3 linked regions of the Stegostoma tigrinum genome follow. The protein of the gene in region 2 binds, or shares a complex with, the protein of the main gene of each other region. Links are inferred from orthologs where the notes say so. Each region holds a gene or a part of one and is shown on either strand. Other genes may lie near its edges.

What was found.
Region 1: mbtd1 (region 2) and ing3 share a complex: the UniProt entries of both Homo sapiens proteins name them as parts of the nuA4 histone acetyltransferase complex. The link is inferred for Stegostoma tigrinum from reciprocal best matches to the Homo sapiens genes MBTD1 and ING3.
Region 3: mbtd1 (region 2) and vps72b share a complex: the UniProt entries of both Homo sapiens proteins name them as parts of the nuA4 histone acetyltransferase complex. The link is inferred for Stegostoma tigrinum from reciprocal best matches to the Homo sapiens genes MBTD1 and VPS72.

The regions. Positions count from the first base shown.
Region 1 is NC_081371.1:36,896,125-36,904,271, reverse strand, and holds the start of ing3 (inhibitor of growth protein 3), read right to left. Parts: upstream 3,104-8,147; 5' UTR 2,864-3,103; coding exon 2,836-2,863; intron 2,713-2,835; coding exon 2,641-2,712; intron 1,753-2,640; exon of another isoform or gene 195-1,752; intron 1-194. UniProt on the Homo sapiens protein: Component of the NuA4 histone acetyltransferase (HAT) complex which is involved in transcriptional activation of select genes principally by acetylation of nucleosomal histones H4 and H2A.
Region 2 is NC_081375.1:6,125,705-6,133,582, forward strand, and holds the start of mbtd1 (MBT domain-containing protein 1), read right to left. Parts: upstream 3,393-7,878; 5' UTR 3,307-3,392; coding exon of another isoform or gene 3,010-3,306; exon of another isoform or gene 2,824-3,009; intron 1,731-2,823; 5' UTR 1,426-1,730; coding exon 1,401-1,425; intron 1-1,400. Other genes in the region: C-Jun-amino-terminal kinase-interacting protein 4, read left to right, coding at 3,010-3,306. UniProt on the Homo sapiens protein: Chromatin reader component of the NuA4 histone acetyltransferase complex, a multiprotein complex involved in transcriptional activation of select genes principally by acetylation of nucleosomal histones H4 and H2A.
Region 3 is NC_081400.1:5,038,712-5,046,813, reverse strand, and holds the start of vps72b (vacuolar protein sorting-associated protein 72 homolog), read left to right. Parts: upstream 1-4,980; 5' UTR 4,981-5,035; coding exon 5,036-5,152; intron 5,153-8,102. UniProt on the Homo sapiens protein: Deposition-and-exchange histone chaperone specific for H2AZ1, specifically chaperones H2AZ1 and deposits it into nucleosomes.

The sequences.
Region 1 (8,147 bases), on a different chromosome or scaffold from region 2:
AAGGCTCCTAGGAATTGTGATCAATAGTGATTTGTATTCAAAAGCAGTGCAATTTTTATTAATATTCCCTCTTAATGTTTTCCTTCACATATATGAATTACCGTTTATTTCTTTCCTCACACTTTTGTCTTGCCTGCACTTTACGTTTTGAGAGCTTCCGAAAAGAAACTTAATAAGTATAAAAGATACTTAACAGGATCAAAAGAAAATTATAGACGAGTAAGGCAATTCAGTCCTCCTGCAGATACTAAAATCCTCCATTTGCAGCATTCAATTCTGTGTTAAATGATAAATGAAGTAAATCTTTAAAGAATTCAGAAACACCAGGAGGTAGCAAAGATTTGTTGTCAGGAAGGCAACATTTAGAATACGTACCAACCGGAGTTCTTAGCAAGTTTTATCAACAACTGAATGGATTGTTAGCAACAATGACTGAAAACATAGCACCGTAATAACTTAATAAATGAAATAACTTCAAAAAGAGGTCGGTATTCTGAAAAAATTATAGTCCAAAAAGCCTATTAGTTGGTTTTTAAAATTTGTAACAGATCACAATAAAAAAATGCATGGCCCTTATATACAGTAAATCTGTGTAGCTCAAATTGTTACAATCAATTTCAAATTTTTAAGTGTTAAGTCTTCTTGTTGCCTTAAGCTTCTTTTTCACTTCCATAAGCTCCTGATAAATGAGCTTTACACAGATCAGTTGCATTTTGCTATATAACTGCATTTTAAGGAGTTGACTGTGATTTTTTTTCTGATTGTATAGTTTCTAACATAGCCAGGAATGAACTTTTATTTAATACACATAAAAATGTTCAAGTGAGACTTTGAATTAATGTGCTAAATAAATCAAATTCAAATGCTTCAATTCAAGCAGTGGTGATCAAAGTTATGAAGCAGAGAAATTATGGTTGGTACCTGTTCTAGCAATAAAGGTAACTGAAGCCAAGTCTCCTCTAAAACAATTTTACTTCTTTTTAGTTACTAGAATGTCCTGATAAATTTTAAATTGCATTTACTCTGCAAGGGCAATTCCACAACTAACTTTAATGGATTTTCTTAGCCTAGTTTTGGCTGATACTTTCACTAATGCTTACCTAGTAAACCATGTATATCAATGCTCAGCAAATTACTGAAAATGCTGAGTGCTTGTAACTGCATGCAGTCTACAAGGTTTATTTGGTCAGAATCTTAATAACTGTTTGTAGATGTGTTTTAATAACAAAATGCCATCAATTTCAATTTTGTCTCACCAGAAACTCTCCATTACGGGTGGAATGGGGTGAAATTAACTAATAATGGAGATATTTGAAAAACGTTCACAGTGACATACCGCAGATTGCTATAAATATAATTTATTAAGCTGGTCAAAAAGAAAAATCTTCAAAATAACTCTCTACTTTTGAAATGTAATGCCATAATTCATTTTGCTGTATAACTGCATTTTAAGGAGTTTACTGTGATATTTTTTGCCAAATAAATCTGAATATCTAGTTTCTAACATAGCTAGGGACAAACTTTTATTTAATACATGTGTAAATGTTCAAATGAGACTTCTAATTTACGTGCTAAATAAAATCAAATTAAAATGGTCCAATCCAAGCAGTGGTGATCAAAGTTTTGAAGCAGAGAAATTATGGTTGGTACCTGTTGTAGCAATAAAAGATAATTGAAAGCCAAGTCTCCTTTAAAAACAACTTTACTTAATTTTAGTTGTTAGGTTGCCCTGATAAATTTTAAAATGCATTATTTCTATTTGATTTACTTTAATTGATTAATGTTTACAGAAAACTAGAGATGAATTATTTTAATATATTTCTGTACTTCAATTCAGAATAACACAAGAATGCAAATATTAAAAACTGAAAACTTAGAAAACCATTCTCGTACCCCACTTTAAAGTATTTCATTATTCAATATATGTGTGCACAAGTGGAAAATGTACAGTAAAGATAGTTTTAAAATACGTTAATGAAATTCAACATTTTAAAGGTTATCACGGAGAAATTGCTACGATATCAGCAGTTACAATGACATCAAAGACTGATGTCGCATGGGGAGATCAGTTTTTTTTAAACACATTTTCAGACCGAGCCACAGAGTGCAATAATGGTCTCACTAAAGGAATTTAAGAAAACATTCGCAAAGTCTATACAATTAATTGTTTATGGAAAAGAAATCCAAGTGCAGCTAAAAAGGGAAGAGAAGTTGCCACCTAGCGCTGGACCAAGTGATGGACGCTGTTGCTATGGTGTACGTTGCTATGACTCTGCAATTGAGTGGCAATAGATAAGTGATCTCAGAAAAGGGAGGGAAAGGAGCTGAAAAAGTAAAAGTAACTATAACAAATTATCGGAATATTATCAAAAATGACTCGGTAACTGAAACTAAAGGTGGTTTTATTTTGGCTGAAACTTTTATTTCCTGGATCTTTTCAAATGTTGCAAAGGCGGAATATTTAGGTTTTGGGTCAAGAGGCATTTGTTTTGAAAAGAAACTGAAAGAGGTAAGGTGGAAGGAGAGAAGTCGCGGGTATCGTAATGTGGCTGTAAGAATGTTCAGTGCAGTGTCCCGGCATTTAAAAAAAAACACGGGTGAGTTGTGTGCCTCTGACATGACTAACGTGGCTCTGCATACTCTGTACTTGTAGGTCCATCTCCCTCATTTCCGTAAACCTGTCGCGCAGATCCATGGGAAGTTGTTCGATCACTGTCGAGAGAGGAAAACAACAGCATTAATGGTGCCTTTTCGCTTCGCTCCGCCCGGCCCTGCCGGGGTGGGGGGGGGGGAAACAATCCCAGCTGTACACGCTGCCTTACACTCAATACTCACTTTCCAAGTAATCCTCCAAGTACAACATTTCGAGTATGGATGGTTTTTGTAAAAAAAACCGGACGATTTTTTTTAAAAAAGGGATGGTTGTTTTTTTTCCTTCCCCCCTAAAATGGTTCCAATATGGCGTCTCAAACCAGCGCCGCTCGTTCGTTTAAAAAAAATGGGGAATGGCAGATAAAAACACCGGCGCCTCGGCTCCGCCCCTCCCCGCCCCGCGCACTCAAATTCCGCACTCCGATTGGTGGGCCGGCGGCCCTTCTGTTTCGTTGGCGCGGTTTTTCCTGGTTCGGCACGCCCACAACAACAAGGTAATGTTGGGAGATGTAGTCCAGGTCTTTCTGTTCGAGGCGGGCAGCCGTCGGCCTCTGTGTTTCTTGAGTCGAGTTAAGCCTGAGCTCCCTGATCGATTATTGAGGCTACGAATGATTTGGGGTGAGGCGGGGTTCGTTGTTCAAGTTGTGCCGGCTCCGACGTGCACTTATTATTTTCTGATTATTGTTTCGATCGTTTGGTTTAAACAATTTAAGACCCGTTTCCGATTACACGGCGGCATGAGCGAGCGGGGCTGGAAGATGCTCTCTTTGATTTGTATGTATCCCGTACTCAACTTCCACGCAACTCAGCAATATCTCTCCATTCACTGATTCATTGCACGGAAGCAAGAAGATGCATCAGATAACAGAGACCCCCATCCTGTTGGTGCAGCTTCTGATCAGAGGGATGTCTAATTTGTTCAGTCCCCTGCTCAACTCCTTTTAAAAAGTCAATCGGGTACCTACAACTGCTAGCCTTGCTGATCTTGATCATAACACATCATTCTTCAGCTGAACTTGAAATGAATGTAGTGTTTTAAGAGTTTTTTTTGGGTACGATCTCCGTAAAGACTCAACTTCTAAAAAGTAATTCGAAGTACCAGATTGATATCTGAAAGGTTGACTCGAGATTTCACATTTTTATTTTTTTAACTGTGGCAAACAGAAGAAATACGCTACAGTATTGAGTGAACACTTTTTTTGTAGCCAGTAAAACATGCCGTTTTACTTTTTATAGGACCTAGAAACTACTTTTTTTAAAAAAAATTCTTTACACAGCTTCTTTAAGTAGTCCTTTCGTAATCTTGTAAAAGCGAAAATACTGCGGATGCTGGAAATTTAAAATAAATAGAGAATGCAGGAGAAACTCAACAAATCTGGCAGCATCTCTGGAAACACAAATAGTTAATATTTGAGCCCAGTATATGTCTTAAGAACTACAAGATGCAATAGTTGAGTTCTGAAGTGTCATATTGAACTCGAACGTTTTTCCCTCCACGGATGCTGCCAGACTTGCTTTACATCTTTTAGGGACTTGGGAAACTACCGGTCACTGTAAATATATTCGTGCAATTATCTCCACTTTCATTACATTTAATCTCTAACAGCCGCGTCACCTTGTCTTGTCATCTGGCAGATTTCAGAACAGATCATATAACCCGTTCAATTTACCGGAGGTTAAAGACACGGTCATCGAACCTCACATTTCCTACTCAATAAATGACTTATTTTGAACCAGTTACTTAGAAAATTTGTGAAATGTGACCTTGGTGCAAAAACCTACTACTTAAGGGAAAAGCATGTTTCAATATTTCAGAGATAGTAGGAATTGCCAATGCTGGGGAATCTGATGTAACACCGTGTGAAGCTGGATGAACACAGCAGGCCAAGCAACATCAGAGGAGCAGGAAAGTTTGACGTTTCCTGTCGAGACCCTTCTTCAGAAATGGGAGAGGGGAAGGGGATTCTGAAATAAATAGGGAGAGAGGAGGAGGCGGATAGAAGATGGATAAAGGAGAAGATAGGTGGAGAGGAGACAGACAGGTCGAGAGGCAGGGTTAGAGCCAGTAAAGGTGAGTGTAGGTGGGGAGTTTGGGAAGGGATAGGTTGGTCCAGGGAGGACGGACAGGTCAAGGACACGGGATGAGGTTAGTGGGTAGGAGATGGGGGTGGAGCTTGAGGTGGGAGGAAGGACAGGTTAAGGAGGTGGGTGAACTGGGCTGGTTTTGGGATGCAGTGGGGGAAGGGGAGATTTTGAAGCTTGTGAAGTCCACGTTGATACCATTGGGCTGCAGGGTTCCCATGTGAAATATGAGATGCTGTTCCTGCATCTTTTGGGTGGCGTCATCGTGGAAATGCAGGAGGCCCAGGATGGACATGTCATCCGAGGAGTTGGGGGGGGTGGTGGGGGTGCAGTTGAAATGGTTCGTGACTGGGAGGTGCAGTTGTTTGTTGCGAACTGAGCATAGGTGTCCCGCAAAACGGTCCCCATGCCTCAGCTTGGTTTCCCTGATGTAGAGGAGGCCACAACGGGAACAACGGATGCGGTATACCACCTCAGCAGATGTGCAGGTGACCATCTACTTGATATGGAAAGTCTTCCTTGGGGATGGGGGTGGCGGGGCGGTATAGGGGCAGGTGTAGCACTTGCTTCGCTTGCAGGGAAAAGTGCAGGGGTTGGTGGAGTAGGAGGGGAGTGTGGAGTGGACAAGGGAGTCACGGAGAGAGTGATCCCTCTGGAAAGCAGATAAGGGTGGGGAGGGAAAAATGTCTTTGGTAGTGGGGTCAGATTGCAGATGCGGAAATGTCGGAGGACGATGCTTTGGATTTGGAGGTTGGTGGGGTGGTACGTGAGGACGAGGGCGATTCTGTTTTGGTTATTATTGCGAATAGGGGGTGTGAGGGATGAGCTGCGGGAAATGCGGGAGACATGGTCGAGGGCATTTTCAATGACTGTGGAGGGGAAATTGCAGTTCTTGAAAACAAAAGGACATCTGGGATGTTTCGGAGTGGAATGTCTCAGGAGCAGATGCAGCGGAGGCGAAGGAATTGGGAATAGTGGATGGCCTTTTTACAGGAAGGTGGGTGAGAGGAGGAATGTTCTAGGTAGTTGTGGGATTTGGTAGGCTTAAAATGGATATCGCTTTCCAGCTGGATGCCAGAGATGGAGACAGAGAGGTCCAGGAAGGAGAGAGAGGTGTCAGAGATTGTCCAGGTAAATTTATGGTTGGGGTGGAAGGTGTTAGCGAAGTGAATGAACTGCTCAAGCTCCTCGTGGGAACATGAGGCGGTGCTGAAACTGTCATCAATGTAACGGAGGAAGAGATGGGGGATAGTAGCTTTGGAAGAGGGATTATTCCATGTACCCTACAAAGAGGCAGGCATAGCTTGGGCCCATGCCTGTACCCATGGCCACCCTCTGTCTGTAGGAAGTGGGAGATATAATTATTAGTTTGCTTTAGGATAGGGTCGAGCAGTTTCAGGGCCGAAGAAAGTATAAGAGGGTTGCAGCGGGAGAGGGATGAACTGCGGTGTACAGACAAAGGCCATGGGTACCCTCATGGGCCCAAGCTCCAAATCCAACGCATCAGCCTCCGACATTTCCACCATCTGCAATCTGACCCCACTACCAAAGACACTTTTCCCTCCCCACCCTTACGTGCTTTGTGGAGGGATCACTGTCTCCATGACTCCTTTGTCCGCTCCACACTCGCCTCCAGCTCCAACATCCACGGCACGTTTCCCTGCAAGCGAAGCACGTGCTACACCTGCCCCTTTCCACGTCAAACAGATGTTCACCTGCACATCTGTTAATGTGATATATTTCAATATTTCGTATTTCTTATGAAGATAGTAAACATTCCAACTGGAATATGACTTTTCATTGACTGAAAATGGGTCATAATCAACTCAGAACAACTTGTTTTTGCTCTGCACAGATGATACTAACATGTTTTCAGCACTTTCTGCTTTAATTTCAGATTTCCAGCAAGTTCAGTATTTTGCTTTTATATCGTTTAGCCATTTCGATGTGCATTTTTTTTTAACATACTTCATTTTGTCTTTATAATGTGGGATTTAATCTCTCCTGAGGTTTTTTTTAAGATTAGATTAGATTCCCTACAGTGTGGAAACAGGCCCTTCAGCCCAACAAATCCACACCACCCCTTGATGTATCCCACCCAGACCCATCCCCCTATAACCCATACACCCCTGAATACTATCAGAGATAATGGGAACTGCAGATGCTGGAGACTCCAAGACAACAAAATGTGAGGCTGGATGAACACAGCAGGCCAAGCAGCATCTCAGGAGCACAAAAGCTGACGTTTCGGGCCTAGACCCTTCATCAGAGAGGGGGATGGGGGGAGGGAACTGGAATAAATAGGGAGAGAGGGGGAGGCGGACCGAAGATGGAGAGTAAAGAAGATAGGTGGAGAAGGTGTGGGTGGGGAGGTAGGGAGGGGATAGGTCAGTCCAGGGAAGACGGACAGGTCAAGGAGGTGGGATGAGGTTAGTAGGTAGCTGGGGGTGCGGCTTGGGGTGGGAGGAAGGGATGGGTGAGAGGAAGAACCGGTTAGGGAGGCAGAGACAGGTTGGACTGGTTTTGGGATGCAGTGGGTGGGGGGGAAGAGCTGGGCTGGTTGTGTGGTGCAGTGGGGGGAGGGGATGAACTGGGCTGGTTGAGGGATGCAGTGGGGGAAGGGGAGATTTTGAAACTGGTGAAGTCCACATTGATACCATATGGCTGCAGGGTTCCCAGGCGGAATATGAGTTGCTGTTCCTGCAACCTTCGGGTGGCATCATTGTGGCAGTGCAGGAGGCCCATGATGGACATGTCATCAAGAGAATGGGAGGGGGAGTGGAAATGGTTTGCGACTGGGAGGTGCAGTTGTTTGTTGCGAACTGAGCGGAGGTGTTCTGCAAAGCGGTCCCCAAGCCTCCGCTTGGTTTCCCCAATAATGCACCCCTGAATACTACGTGCAATTTAGCATGGCCAGTCCACCTAGCCTGCAAATCTTTGGACTGTGGGAGGAAACCAGAGCACCTGGAGGAAACCCACGCAGACACAGGGAGAATGTGCAAACTCCACACAGACAGTTACCTGAGGCTGGAATCGAACCCGGGTCCCTGGTGCTGTGAGGCTGTAGTGCTGACCACTGAGCCACCATACCGCTTTGTGCAGCTTTATAAATGCAAATTATTTTCCTTCTTTTCCTTTATCCTCAATAATTTACTTGTGTTTCCTTTACCTTAATATATTCCAACTTAGATGTTTATTGTAACTTAAGGTTCTTGCAAAGATTTGTAGCTTGGGTTGTGGGTGAGGTAGTTGACTTGCTAGCCGAGCTGGCTGGTTATAGTTCAGATGTTTTGTCATCATGCTAGGTAACATCATCAGCACAGCCTCCAATGAAGTGATGTTCTTCTACTCTGTTTGCTATTTATATGGTCAGGTCTGTTGAGGTGTTCTGTGTCATTTCCAGTTCAGAACCG
Region 2 (7,878 bases):
CACTTCACTTGTAACACTTGTACCATCTTGGTAATGCCTCCTCATCCCAATTCTTTGTCTTCTATTAGTTTAATCCTCTTTCTATAATGTGCTTCTTCCAACACATGGGATCTTAGCTTTTCAGATGTGCGTGATGTTACCAAACCTATTCTGAAAATCAAAATATTTATCACATCCACTACTTTCCCTTTATCTATCCTGCTTGTTACCCCCTCAAAAAATTCCAGTAAATTTGTCAGGTATGATTTCCCCTTTTTGAGGCCATGCTGATCCTGCTTTGATCTTATTATATATTTCTAAATGCTTTGCTATTACATCCTTTACAACAGATTCTAACATTTTTTCAAGGTCAGATATAAAGGTAACTGGCAGACAGCTTTTTTTGGTCTTCTTCCCATTTTTAATAAAAGGTGCTACATTAAAAGTTTTCTAATTCTCTGGGACTTGCCCAGAATCGAAGGATTCCTGGAAGATGGTTACAAGTGCATCTACTATCTCTATACATGCATCCTTTAATTTCCACAACGTATCCTATCGTGTCAAGGAACTTATTATTCTTTAGCCCCATTAATTACCTTAGCCATTTGATAACTTTGTACTTTTGTAATGTTGTTATTGTCTTGTATTGTGAGTGCTGATGCAAAGTACTTCTCAACTTTGTCTTTTCCCGGTTCCCCGTTGTTATTTCACCAGCTTTAGTCTTTAATGGGCCTGTGTTCCCTTCTGCTTCTCTCTTTATTTTTATTTACTTAAAGAAGTTTTGATATTACTTGCAAGTTAACCCTCCAAGTTTATGTTTTTTCTCTATTATCTTCGGTTGACTTTTGTTGATTTTCTAAAACATTCCCAATCCTCTAGATTACCACCAATCTTTGCCATGTTATACATTTTTCTCCTTTTAATTTGATATAATCCCGAACTTCTTTTTCTTTACGTACCATGGGTACCTCTGTCAAATCTCTCCTTTGCTCCAAGGAGAACAAGTTCTGTTTCTCCAAACTCATTTTGCAGCTAAACTCTCTCTCTCTGACTGAACCATTCTGGTAAATCTCCTGTGCGCCCTTTCAAGGATTGTCAAGTCCTTCCTGAAGCATGATGGCCAGAACTTATTGCCTAACCAGGCAAAAATAAATATTCACCATAATATCAGTGATTTTAAACTCAATATCACAATCTTTGAAGGCATGATGTTTTAAAATCTACTCTCTCAATACGTCCTTTCAAGTCAAAGATATATACATATGAATCTCCAAGTTTCCATGTCCATTTGCAGTGTTTAGAATTATGTAATGTAATTTACATTGATTTAACATTAAAACATATGTTCAACCCACATATCTGTACACACAGGAAATGTGAAATAAAAAACAGAAAATACTTGAAATACTCAGTGAGCCTACCAGCATATGGGTGATGAACTTTCATTATAACCACTTCCAGTATTTTATGCTAAAACACCACTCGCTTTTACTTGACATAGTTCCATAGGATCTCTTCCGTTAACCAGAGGCCTCATTTTTATGTCCTTCAAAGCATGGCATTTCCGATGGCGCAAAATTGGAATATCTGTTTTGGCTTTTGTATTCAAGTCCTCGAAGAAGCTTTCAAGCCATAACTGTCATTCAGAGAAAAGAACGCTGCCATCTAAGCTATAAGCAAAAGAAATATGGACAGCAGTTTTTGAGGAACAAAAACAGAAGTTGCTGGAAGCTCAGCAGGTCTAGCAGCTCCTGCAAAGAAAAAAAAATCAAAGTTAACGTTTCACTCCAGTGACACTTCTACAAGACAGACCTGCTGAGCTTCCAGCAACTTCTGTTTTTGTATCAGAGATAATGGGAACTGCAGATGCTGGAGAATCCAAGATAATAAAGTGTGAAACTGAATAAACACAGCAGGCCAAGCAGCATCTAAGGAGCACAAAAGCTGACGTTGCGGGCCTAGACCCTTCATCAGAGAGGGGGATGGGGGGAGGGAACTGGAATAAATAGGGAGAGGGGGGAGGTGGACCGAAGATGAAGAGAAAAGAAGATAGGTGGAGAGGAGAGTATAGGTGGGGAGGGGATAGGTCTGACCAGGGAACACGGACAGGTCAAGGAGGTGGGATGAGGTTAGTAGGCAGGAAATGGAGTTCCTGATTTAAAGTATCTGCAGTTCTTGTTTTTGTGTGATTTTGGAGGAGCTCATGTTTATGAAAGCATCATTTTTGACTTGTTAATAGCTCCATTGTACTGTATTACATGATTGGTAGAAGATAAACTAGACAAAAGCATGTTTTTTCACTAGCAATTCTGACGTTCGTAACAATTTTATTCAAGGAGATATCTTGTCTGTGACCCTGAAACCTTGCGTCCAAAGTATTTAAAAAAAATAAAAGACCTAACCATTCATAGATGTCAACTATCATCACAAAATCCCTGTAATGGGACAAAGTGCTGCATGGAGGAAGACAGAGTTACCCGTTTTCGCCCGAGAGCAGAGATAACAAAGCGTAGAGCTGGGTGAACACAGCAGGCCAAGCAGTGTCAGAGGAGCAGGAAAGCTGACATTTCGGGCCTCAGGGTCTAGACCCAAAACATCAGCCTTCCTACTCCCCTGATGCCGCTGCGCCTGCTGAGCTCACCCAGCAGCATCCGCAGCTCCCACTATCTATAGCCCGGCAAGAGCATGTGACGGGATCACATGACTTGTGGAAGCTCGCGACGTTCCGTGCCTGATCGGGGCGGCCCGGCGTGCGGGGGCGCGCAGCCTGGACGGGGCGGGACCGCGCCCCTCGAACGGGAACGCGCACAGTGGGGGCTGGGCAGCGCGCTGAGGGGGCGGGGTTGGAGCCAGTGGCCTCGAGCCGAGCGGCGTCGTCAACAGGGAGGGAGCGGGAGACGGCTGAGCGGCGGAGAGAAGAAAGCAGCAGGAGCTGAAGAGAAATATAGGTGGTTATTCCCTTAACTTCCTCCGGCGTAAATCATTGATTTGTCTATATGTTTTCCCCAGCATATTGATAATTTAAAGAAAATGGAAATGGATGATGGGGTGGTTTACCAGGATGACTCCAACACTAATGTTATGTCGGAGCGGGTGTCAGGCCTGGCGGCTAGTATTTACCGGGAGTTCGAGAGGATGATCCGCAAGTACGACGAAGATGTGGTGAAGGACCTGATGCCGCTGGTGGTCGGTGTGCTGGAGAACCTGGACGCGATGTTCGCCGAGAACCAGGAGCACGAGGTGGAGCTGGAGCTATTGCGGGAGGATAACGAGCAGCTCATCACCCAGTATGAGCGGGAGAAAGCCCTGCGGAAGCACGCCGAGGAGGTGAGTGAGTGTCCCGGGCCAGGGTGAGGGCGCCACCGCTTTTCATTCTCCATCGGGATGGCTCCCGCTGAGATCTCTCACCCGAACCTCCGCTTCCCCCAGTCCTCATTGGACCAATGCTTCAGACTAATGCCCACCTCCTCTACCGCCTGCACCCTGATTGGTCGGTGGCCCTGTCACTCAGCACGCTAGCAGGTTTGATTGCATACGATGACAACCCAACGGGCCCTAGTTTTCAAAACAAGCCCAACTTGTGTGTGTTATATATTTTTTAAATAAAGTGTGGGTATTTATTGATGACTGTTGTGTCGACGCTTCGGTAATATATTTCCCTTGCAGTATCTTCTGGCGTGTGTTGGCACAGTGTTCCCCTGTACGTCATCTGCATGAATAAGCGCAACATTGATGTGGGTTGAAGACAAAAATCTTAGTGAATTCTTCCTTAATGGACCAGAATAACCAAGAAAATTTAAAGTAACCTTTATAACACTGTTTACCAGAAACCGGTTAAGATCTTAACATGCGAACTCTGCTTTTTGTAAAAATCTGAGTTAAGATGTTAGGAACCTAATGGCCTGCATGTTGTTTTGTTCCAGAGAAAAAAGATATTGGGACTTTTTCCTAAAAGGGTTATGTTTTCTGAAAAAGTCATTGCTCGCTTCTTTGAGTATAAGAGTTGGGAAATCATGTTGAGGTTGTACAGGACATTGGTCAGGCCTCTTCTGGAGCAGTGTGTCCAGTTCTGGTCGCCCAGTTATAGGAAGGATATTATCAAGCGGAGACGGTCAGAAGAGATTTGCCAGGTGTTGCTGGGTGTGGAAGTTGGGTTGTAAAGAAAGGCAGGATAGGCTGGGACATCCTTCACTGGAATGTAGAAGGTTGACTGGCAATCTGACTGAAGTAATGAGAGGTATAGATAGAGTTAATGGTAGTTGTTTTTCCCCTAGGATGGGCATTTTCAAGGAGGAGGTGGGCTTTAGTCTGAAGCATTGGTCCAATGAGGACTGGGGGAAGCGGAGGTTCGGTTGAGAGATCTCAGCGGGAGCCATCCCGATGGAGAATGAAAAGCGGCGGCGCCTTCACCCTGGCCCGGGGGCACATTTTTAAGTTGAGAGGAGAGAGATTGAAAAAAATGAGGTAGATGTTTTTAGACAAAGGGTGGCTCCTGTGTGGAATGAACCTCCTGAGGAAGTGGCGGATGTGGGTACAATCACAACATTTAAAAGACATTTGGATAAGTACGTGAGTAGGAAAGGTGTGGAGGGATATGGGCCAGGAGCAGGCAGGTGGGCCTTGTTTAGTTTGGGGTTATGTTCGCCTGGACTGGTTGGAGCGAAGGATCTGTTTCTGTGCTGTACGTCTCTATATGTGGAAACAAAACGAGCAAGGTGCACATGTTCTTCTATGTACTGCATTCTGTGAGGAATAAATCATCTTGGAGTTGCCATTGAGAAAACTTTGCAGAATTTGAGAGTGTAGCATTTTCCTCTGTGAATAGAATTATGTAATTTAAACCATGTTGACAATTGGTGTAGATTCACAGCCATTTGTGTTTGTTGGATTTTCATGGAGTATCTGCCAAGTATTTGTAGTTTAAAACATCAGATTGATAATATTCAAATCTTCCAGTGATGTGTGGTTAGCTTACCATACTGAGTGAGCCAGGTATAGTGGATGAAGAGATAATGGGAACTGCAGATGCTGGAGAATCCAAGATAACAAGGTGTGAAGCTGGATGAACACAGCAGGCCAAGCAGCATCTCAGGAGCACAAAAGCTGACGTTTTGAGCCTAGACCTTTCATCAGAGAGAAAGAGTGTCAGAAGAGGGTGTGATGAAGGGTCTAGGCCCGAAACGTCAGCTTTTGTGCTCCTAAGATGCTGCTTGGCGTGTGTGTTCATCCAGTTCCACACTTTGTCACAGTGGATGAAGACTTGGGTTTCATTATGACACCAAATCGCATGTTGGCCTGCCTTGCTACTGAACTGGCAATTGCGTTGGTTTTGACCATCTTCTTTAGTTCCATCCGCTCATCTCTCATGTTACCATTCTCTGTCACTCACCCAGTAACGTAAACACAGGATTATTTACATGCCAAACAGTGAGTTATCCCATAATGAACAAATCTGATCTAAGCTTTGCAGTCTGACCACATCCAATGATGAATAACAAAACAACTCACTATAAGGTGAGACAATGGCCTAATGGTGTTATTGCTGAACTGTTAATCCAGAGACCCAGCTAACATCCTGGGGACCTAGGTTCAAATCCTGCCGTGGCAGATTGTGGAATTTGAATTCAATTTAAAAAATTGGAATTAATAGCGCGGTAATAACCATGAAATCATTGTGAATTATCGAGAAAACCCTTTTGATTTAGTAATGTACTTTAGGGAAGGAAGCTCCCTACATGTGACTCCAGCTCTACAGCAATGTGGTTGACTCTCAACCTCAATTAGTGATGGGCAATAAATGCAGGCCTAGCCAGCAATGCCCTCTTCCCGTCAATGAATACCAAAAAAAGGAGAAGCTCTGAATGACTTCATCTTTAATAATGGAGGAGTCCAGCACGTCAGCACAAATGAAAAGACTGAAGCATTTGCACCCTGTTCAGTCAGAAGATCCACCTCTACCTTCTCCTGATGTCCCCAACATTGCTGATGCTGGTCTTCAACCAATTTGATAGACTTTACGATATCAAGAAATAGCTGATGATGCTGGATTCTGGAAAGGCTGTGGACTGTGTTAACATTCTCAAAAAGTACTGAAGATGAGCTCCAGAACTAACCACGTCATTAGGCAAGCTTGTTCGGCACATTTAGAACAGTGACAAATACATGTCAATGTGGAAAATTGTACAACCATATCGTGTCCACAAAAAGCAAGACAAATCAACCAGGCCATTTATCAATCCATCAGTTTATTTTGTATCAACAGAATAATGGAAGGTGTTATCGACAGTGCTATTGAGTCAGGCGTGTAATGAAATACTGTCCACTTGGTAGGATGGGTGAAACTCCGAAAAACACTCAGGAAGGTTAACACCATTCAGGACAAAGCAGTTTTTTGATTGGCATGTCAATTCTCACACCTTCTACATTCACTCTGTATTCACCACTGCAGAGAAACTGCAGCAGTGTGTACCATCTTCCAGATGCACTGCAGTAACTTGCCAAGGCTCCTTGGATAACACCTTCAAATCTCCAAACCAGAATGACGGTGGCAGCAGGTATGCGGGAACACCATCATTTGCAAGATCCCCTCCATGCCACACATCATCCAGACTTCAAAATACATTGTTGTTTCTTCACTGTAACAGGGTTAAAATCTGGGAATTCACCCTGTAACAACACAGTGGGTGTTCCAAATAAGTATTTCACAAAGACAACTCACTACCACTTTCTTGAGGGCAGTTAGGAGTTGGTAATAAATCTTGGCTTATCCAACATGTCCTGCAAATGAGTTTTTTATAAGTCCAAAAATAATATTTGCACTACAGCAGTGACCAAATTTACAGTTACTGAACACATACAGTGCATCCTATATATCATCTCAAACTGTAATTCTGATGTACAGATGTATTGAATTTTGAATTCCTTGCTATAGAAGGCTGCACAACTGTTTGCTCGATTGCACCCTCGGATGAAATGTGGAGAAATGGAGTAGAATGGGACCTGTGCTCACCATAGTTAAGAAGAATGAGAGGTGATCTTGTTGAGTCCAAAATTTTCTTGAATTTATGTTTAATTCTTAATTCTAGGGGTTTGTCTAAGAAGAAGACTGGGTAGCTGCGAGGAGGTTCTGTAATTGAGGAGTCTGGAGATTTTGAATTACATAAGCGAAAGGCTATCAGAACTGACCCATGGCCTTTAACAACACAATTTCTCTCAGATATGAAAACAGAAAATACTGGAAATAATTAGCATACCAAGTGGTGTCTTCTCTTTTTCCCGGGTCTCCCTTGTTTCAACAACTAGTTTAGGTTGTTCAGGTATCTTGGCTGTGCTTTCAGTTGGAGATAGTAAGAACTACGGATGCTGGAGTCAGGGATAATAGAAAAAGGGTCCTGATCCAAAACGTCAACTTGCCTGCTCCTCTGATGCTGCCTGGCATGCTGTTTTCCTCCAGCTCCACACTGTGTTATCTGTGTTTTGAGTTGAATGTGCAACACGTCCTGGAATTCCCTCCCCAAATCATCCATTACTATGCTGTCTGCCCATCTTAAATTCTGACTGTTTTCACACTAGCTTTTGGTTACTGTACTTAATAGAACAGAGAACATAGATGTTGCGTCGACCTGTGAACTAATCTAAGCCCCTCCCCCTACACTGTCCCATCATCATCATCCATATGCTTATCCAAGGATGATAATATTTTGCCTTTGTTCGGTTTTTGAACTGCCTTTGGATGTTGTTCTATGCTCTGCCTTGTATAAATATGATCATATAAATAAGAATTGCCTACTCAGTCCCTTGAGCATTTTCAGCAATTGATGAAGATCTTGGCTGATCTGATGACTCCACGTGGCATCAAACTGTAGGATGACTTTTCCGCCTCATGCTTGGCAATAATCT
Region 3 (8,102 bases), on a different chromosome or scaffold from region 2:
AAACACTTAAAGAACAATGTGATAGACTCAGACAGTGATAGGCGCCACACAAATGCATGTATTTGTTGCGAGTCATTCTTATGGCTTGGCAAGTACTGTCACCTGGAGGCGGTAATACAGATTGCAAACACAAAACTTACAACAATTTTGGGAAACAGTTATGAATTAACCTGTTCAGAGGTGTTACTAAACACTCCAGGGAGCAGCTTGGTCTTGAGCCTGGGTCTCCTGGCCCTGTGAGACTGACACTACCACTGCTAACGCAAGGCTCCAAGGAAACCAATGAAGTGAAACTCGGAGTTTTTATGTTGCTATTCATGGTTCTTTATTCCATACGTCCGTCCAGGACAAGACTCACCCAAAGCTGCTTAATTCGAGAATGGCAGCCAGCACTGCAGACCATGTATGTGCACTGAGGGAGCGGGCACCGTCGGAGGGTCAGCGCCGAGGGAGCGGGCACCGTCGGAGGGTCAGCGCCGAGGGAGCGGGCACCGTCGGAGGGTCAGCGCCGAGGGAGCGGGCACCGGAGGGTCAGCGCCGAGGGAGCGGGCACCGGAGGGTCAGCGCCGAGGGAGCGGGCACCGGAGGGTCAGCGCCGAGGGAGCGGGCACCGTCGGAGGGTCAGCGCCGAGGGAGCGGGCACCGTCGGAGGGTCAGCGCCGAGGGAGCGGGCGCCGGAGGGTCAGTGCTGAGGGAGCGGGCGCTGTCCGGGGGTCAGTGCTGAGGGATCGGGCGCTGTCAGAGGGTCAGTGCTGAGGGAGCGGGCGCTGTCAGAGGGTCAGTGCTGAGGGAGCGGGCGCAGTCGGAGGGTCAGCGCCGAGGGAGCGGGCACCGTCGGAAGGTCAGCGCCGAGGGAGCGGGCACCGTCAGAGGGTCAGCGCCAAGGGAGCGGGCGCTGTCAGAGGGTCAGTGCTGAAGGAGCGGGCGCTGTCAGAGGGTCAGTGCCGAGGGAGTGGGCGCTGTCAGAGGGTCAGTGCCGAGGGATCGGGCGCTGTCAGAGGGTCAGTGCTGAGGGAGCGGGCGCTGTCAGAGGGTCAGTGCTGAGGGAGCGGGCGCTGTCAGAGGGTCAGTGCCGAGGGAGCGGGCGCTGTCAGAGGGTCAGCGCCGAGGGAGCGGGCGCTGTCAGAGGGTCAGTGCTGAGGGAGCGGGCGCAGTCGGAGGGTCAGCGCCGAGGGAGCGGGCACCGTCGGAAGGTCAGCGCCGAGGGAGCGGGCACCGTCAGAGGGTCAGCGCCAAGGGAGCGGGCGCTGTCAGAGGGTCAGTGCTGAAGGAGCGGGCGCTGTCAGAGGGTCAGTGCCGAGGGAGTGGGCGCTGTCAGAGGGTCAGTGCCGAGGGAGCGGGCGCTGTCGGAGGGTCAGTGCAGAGGGAGCGGGCACTGTTGGAGGGTCAGTGTTGAGGGAGCGGGCGCTGTCGGAGGGTCAGTGCTGAGGGAGCGGGCACTGTCGGAGGGTCAGTGCTGAGGGAGGGGGCGCTGTCGGAGGGTCAGTGCTGAGGGAGCGGGCGCTGTCGGAGGGTCAGTGCTGAGGGAGCGGGCGCTGTCGGAGGGTGAGTGTTGAAGGGGTTGGGTAGCGTTGTGCTTTCCCCTGGTTGTAAATGTGTGTGAGGGTCACCAATGGTGTTGTTGTTGCGGGGGGGGGGGTTGGGTGGTGAAGAAAATTTGTTCGCTCTCCCATCACGGGATGAGGGTGATGCTCGCACGGCAGCATTTATTGCCCCATCCCTAATTGCCCGGTGGCCTGGGGGGGGGGGGTGCAATTAACCATCAACCACATTGCTATGGGTCTGGAATCACACATTTGGGCCAGACCAGGTCAGGATGGTCGCTTCCTTCCCGAAAGGACATGAAGGAACCAGTTGGGTTTTTCCAACAAGGGATTCATCATTATAACACACAACAGCACAGGCCCTTCGGCCCACAAGGCTGTGCTGTATTTTTACCCTGTCCCAAAGGTGTATCTCACCTCCACCCCTACCTTGTGCTTTCGTCAGTTAGATTCTGAATTCCAAATATTTTATTGGATTCAAATTCCACCATCTGCCGTGGGCGGTCTTCGAATCCAGGTCCCCGGAACGTCTCCCGGATCCACAGTCCCGCGATAATCCCGCATGCACGCTTGGAGACTGGATTATTTCTCTGAACAATGTCGTGGGTATGGGGGAGGGCTCTGATCAATCGATAACTGGTTTATCGGAGATAACTGATCCTGACGACCGAGGTCAGAAGTCATCAATCCACCTGATCAGTGCAATCTGATGGTGAAACCCTGTAAAACCATAAAACAGTTTGCACAAAGGCAGGGCTCACCAACAACAGGTTTGCAAACCTCCTACCACTGTAGAAGGAGGACAGATGTTGAACTGACCTCTCCCTGTTGTTTTTGAAGTGTGCCATGAGTCCTGTGGCTCTCGGGTCAAAGACCGTTGATGTCTCTCACTGCCGCCCGACCTCCTGCGGTTCCCCAGCGTCTGCGTGTTGACTCGGAGCAGGCCATTTGGCCCCCTCGAGCCCCAGCGGTTTGAGGCGATCGTCACTGCGGCGAATTCCATGATCCCTCCGACTCCTGGCCTGAGAGGAAATCCCGTCCCCGTGAGGTCCAAAGCCTCCGACAGAAGCGGATGCCCTCGTCTCCGCCCCGTCATGTCGCCGTGGCCCCCTCGCTCAGGACCGACCCACAATCGGAAAAGTCCAGTCCACGTCCAGAGGGGGAGAGGTGGGATGCTGGTTGCAGAGTCGGTGCGGACTGGATGGGCCGAATAGCCTTCCGCGGTGATTGTCTGAGCAAACATTCTGCCTAATCACAATAGCCATATTTCACACGGCCTTTCGACTGAACAATAAATAGTTACACTGAGGTAAATTAGAAAGAACATAAGAATCTGAAAAAAATACCGTGCAACTTCACAGAGACACGGGGAGAATGTGCAAACTCCACACAGACAGTCGCCCAAGGGTGGGATCAAACCCAGGTCCTTGGCGCAGTGAGGCTGTTGCGCTAACCACTGAGCCACTCCAGCACAGGGTAATAAAAAGATAACTGTGCCATTAACTGCTACTTTGGCTCCTTCTTGCTTTCTGCGGCAGGGAATTCCACAGCCCCCTGCTCTCACGTATTCGCCTCAGGGAAAGATGCTGCAAATCAGAAGCAATCATGGAAATCACTGGCAAAAATCAGCTGGTCTGGCAGTATCTGTGGATGGGTTAATGTTTCGCGCCTCTTGGGAAATTCGAAAGACGGGCCACTGGACCCAAACATGCCAACTCTGCTTTCTCTCGTAGAAAGCATCTGGTCCAATGCATCACAGCTTCGGATAGTAACTGCTCTGCCCAAGGTCATAACAGACAGACATACACACAGACAGACACACAGAGGCAGACACACAGCAACAGACATACAGAGACACACACAGACATACACACAGCGACAGACATACAGAGACACACACACATACAGACACACAGAGACATACACACAACGACAGGCATACAAAGACACACACAGCGACAGGCATACAGAGACACACACAGACATACAGACAGCGACAGACATACAGAGACACACACAGACATACACACAGCGACAGACATACAGAGACACACACAGCGACAGACATACAGAGACACACAGAGACATACACACAGCGACAGGCATACAGAGACACACACAGACATACACACAGCGACAGACATACAGACACACAGAGACATACACACAACGACAGGCATACAAAGACACACACAGCGACAGGCATACAGAGACACACACAGACATACAGACAGCGACAGACATACAGAGACACACACAGACATACACACAGTGACAGGCATACAGAGACACACACAGACATACACACAGAGACAGACACACAGAAACAGACATACTGAGACACACACAGACATACACACAGTGACAGACATACAGAGACACACAGAGACATACACACAGAGACAGACACACAGAAACAGACATACTGAGACACACACAGGCATATACACAGAAACAGACATACTGAGACACCAAGACATACAGAGACACATACACAGATGTACAGAGGCACAGAAACAGATGGAGACAGATATAGACACCACACCGACATTTACACAGACTTACAGAATAATGGACACATACAGAGACACACAGAGACAGGCAGCGATGGACTATAGTATGTGAGAGGTTCATAAATCTGATATCAGCAGGGAAGAAGCAGCTCTTGAATCTGTTGGTATATCTTTTCAAACTTTTGTATCTTCTTTCGGCAGTAGAGGATGGGAGGGAATATAACTGGGTGGGAGGGGGTCTTTGATGATGTTAGGTGCTTTCCCAAGGGCAGTGGGAAGTGTAGACTGAGTCAACAGATGGGAGGCTGGTTTGTGTGATGGGCTGGGCCACTGTCTGTAATTTCTCGTGATCTTGGGAAGAGCAGTTTACAGACAGGATGCTTTCTATGGTGCATCTGTAAAAATTGGTGAGTGCCCTTGTGGATATGTTAGTCTGTCTTCATTTAACCCTTTCGGACAATGCGGCATTACTGGTATCTCTTTTGTCACTTACTACCCCTTGAGCTGGATGCCTGGCACACACAGTTTCAGGGGAGGTGACCCCACCGTTGCCAATGGGTCTGGAGTCACGTGTAAGACTTGGTCTGGTTTGGGAGGGGGACGGTGGAAGAATTAATTACCCATTTACGAACATGATTGCGCAGTATGTACGTGGGGATGAGTGCTGGGGGTGATGCCTCATCCAGTCGAATAGCCAACCGAGGGTTGTACAGGTTTGAGTGCGGACAACTGGATTCTTTCACAAAAAGCAACTCAGGACCTGAGGAAGGATTTTCTTAAATAAAATTAAAATCACCCCTCATTGATTCATCCCAAACCCCTCACTGAAATAAGTAGCCAATAGGGAAGTGGTGTTTCTCGATCGACGTTCTCCGGGATCGATCGTCACGTCCTGGAGGACCAGTGGGAGGAAGACGCGCAGGCGCGACCGAGCGCACTCCGAGCGGCTCGAACGGAGAAGCAGGAGACGGCGGCGCCATGAGCCTGGCGGAGAACCGGCCGTCGAGGAAAAATGCCGGTAACCGCATGTCGCGGCTGCTGGAGGCCGAGGAGGACGATGACTTCTACATGACGACCTACGGGGGTTTCCATGAGGTGAAGGAGAAAGAGGGACTTTAAAAGAAGAGGGAGAGCTCGCCCAAGGTGGCGGGAGGCCGCCGCCATCTTGGAAGGGACAAGCGGGCGCAACCGAGCTTGCTGTCTGGGGGGCGGGGCCACTTCGGGAAACGCCTCCCATCTCAGCCGCCATTGGGCTTAGTTCCTATCGGTTACTATGTCTTGTGTCATCATTGGCTGCCGCCGCTGTCAATCAGCGCTGTGCCACTTACCTGCACTGGGGAGATTTTTTCAGATGCTTCAAATAGACCTTTCGGCCCAACCAGTCCATGCTGACCCGCCTATCCTAAAGTAATCTAGTCCGAAATAGAGCCATACAGTCAGGAAACAGACCCTTTGGCATAACCAGCCCATGCTGATCCCCTATCGTGAATTAACCTAGTCCCATAAAGTGTCATACAGCGTGGAACTAGCCCCTTCAGCCCAACCAGTCCATGCTGACCTCCTATCCTAAATTAATCTCGTCACATGTGGGGTTTCAAAGCGTGGAAACAGACACTTCAGCCCATCTTGTCCGTACTGACCTGCTTTGCTAAATTAATCTAGTCCCGTTCTCTCAAAGTAAGCTTGCAGGTTGAGTCAGTAGTAAGCAAGGCTAATGCAATGTTGGCATTTATTTTCAGAGAACTTGAATTTAAAAGCAGGGATGTACTACTGAGGCTTTATAAGGCTGTGGTCAGGCTACATTTGGAGTATTGTGTGCAGTTTTGGGCCCAATATCTCGGGGAAGATGTACTGGCCCTGGAGTGGGTTGAGAGGAGGGTCAGAAGAATGGTCCCAGGAATGAAAAGCTTAACATATAAGGAACATTTGAGGACTCTGGGACAATACCCGTTGGAGTTTAGGAGGATGAGGGGGTTCTAATTGAACCTTATATAATAATGAATGGCCTGGACAGAGTGGATGTTGTGTAGATGTTTTCATTTGTAGGAGAGACTAGGACCTGAGGGCACAGCCTTAGAGTAAAGGGAAGACCTGTCAGAACGGAGATAAGAGAGAAGCTTCTTCAGCCAGAGAGTGGTGAATCTATGGAATTCACTGCCACAGAAGGCTGTGGAGGCCAAGCCATTGAGCACATTTAATACTGAGATAGATAGGTTCTTGATTATCAAGGGTTACGGGGAGAATGTTGTTGAAGAACTTATCAGCCACGATTGAATGGCGGAGTGGACTTGATGAGCCGAATGGCCCAATTTCTGCTCCTGTCTTATGGTCATATACGATCATACAGTCAGGAAACAGATCCTTCGGCCCAACCAGTCCATGCTGACCGGATATCCTAAATGAATCTAGTCCCATCTGCCAACATTTGGCCCGTATCCTCCTAAACCTTCCCAATTCATGTACCCCTCCAGATGCCAGGGAGTGTGTTAGAAGCAGCAATACGATGATCCAAACCCTAGAAAATTAAACGGTGTGATTGTAATCTAATCCCTAGTCTTGCACATTTTCCAAATCAATGCAGTTTTTGATCCTGGATGGATTTTAATGAAAGTTGACATTAATAACAGGGGGATTGAGTTTAAGAGTCGTGAGATCTTGTTGCAGCTCTATAAAACTTTGGTTGGACCGCACTTGGAGTGCTGCGTCCGGTTCTGGGCGCCCTATTGTAGGAGGGATGTGGATGCTTTGGGGAGGGTTCAGAGGAGGTTTACCAGGATGCTGCCTGGACTGGAGGGCTTATCTTATGAAGAGAGGTTGACTGAGCTCGGTCTCTTTTCATTGGAGAAAAGGAGGAGGAGAGGGAACCTAATTGAGGTATACAAGATAGTGAGAGGCATAGATAGAGTTGATAGCCAGAGACTATTTCCCAGGGCAGAAATGGCTAGCACGAGGGGTCATAGTTTTAGGCTGGTTGGTGGAAAGTATAGAGGGGATGTCAGAGGCAGGTTCTTTACGCAGAGAGTTGTGAGAGCATGGAATGCGTTGCCAGCAGCAGTTGTGGAAGCAAGGTCATTGGGGTCATTTAAGAGACTGCTGGACATGTATATGGTCACAGAAATTTGAGGGTGCATACATGAGGATCAATGGTCGGCACAACATTGTGGGCTGAAGGGCCTGTTCTGTGCTGTACTGTTCTATGTTCTATGTTCTAAGATACTGGAAACCCAAAACAAAAGCTGAAGTTTGCTGTAGAAACCCAGCAAGTCTGGTGGAAGGAGAGAGAACAGAGGTAACGTTTCGAGTTTTACTAGAGATTTGCCGGGATGTTGCTTGGAATGAAGGGTTTAAGTTATGGCGAGAGGCTGGGACCTTTTTTCCTCTGGAGTGTAGGAGGTTGTGGGCTGACCTTACAGAGGTTTATAAAATCATGAGAGGCACGGACAGGGTGAAAAGTTTTTCCCTAGACTGGGGGAATTTCAAAACCAGGCAGAATTTTTTAAGGTGAGAGGAGAAAGATTGAAAACAAGACATGAGGGGCAATTTTTTTTACACAGAGAGTGGTTTGTATGTAGAATGAACTTCCAGAGGATGCGGAGTGCAGCCACAGTTACAACGTTTAAAAGACATTTGGGTAAGTACAGGAATAGGAACGGTTTGGAGAGACATGAGCCAAACACAGGCACGTGAGACTAGTTTAGCTTGGGGGAAACCTGGTCAGTGTGGATTAGTTGGGCTGAAGAGTCTGCTTCTGTGTTGTTTGACTCTAATTATATCTAACTCCTTCTTGGAGACATTTAATGGTGAGGTGTCTTCTGGAGCACTGTGTCTAGTTCTGGTTGCCCTGCAAAACGAATGATATTAATTTGAGAGGGTTCAGAAAATATTTATGAGAACCTGGAGTGAACTGCCCGGGGAAATGGTTAATGCAGGTACCGTTAAGAATATTTAAAAGACATTTGGATAAGTACATGAATAAGAAGTGTTTGGAGGGATATGGGCCAGGAGCAGGCAGGTGGGACTAGTTTAGTTTGGGATTATAGTCGGC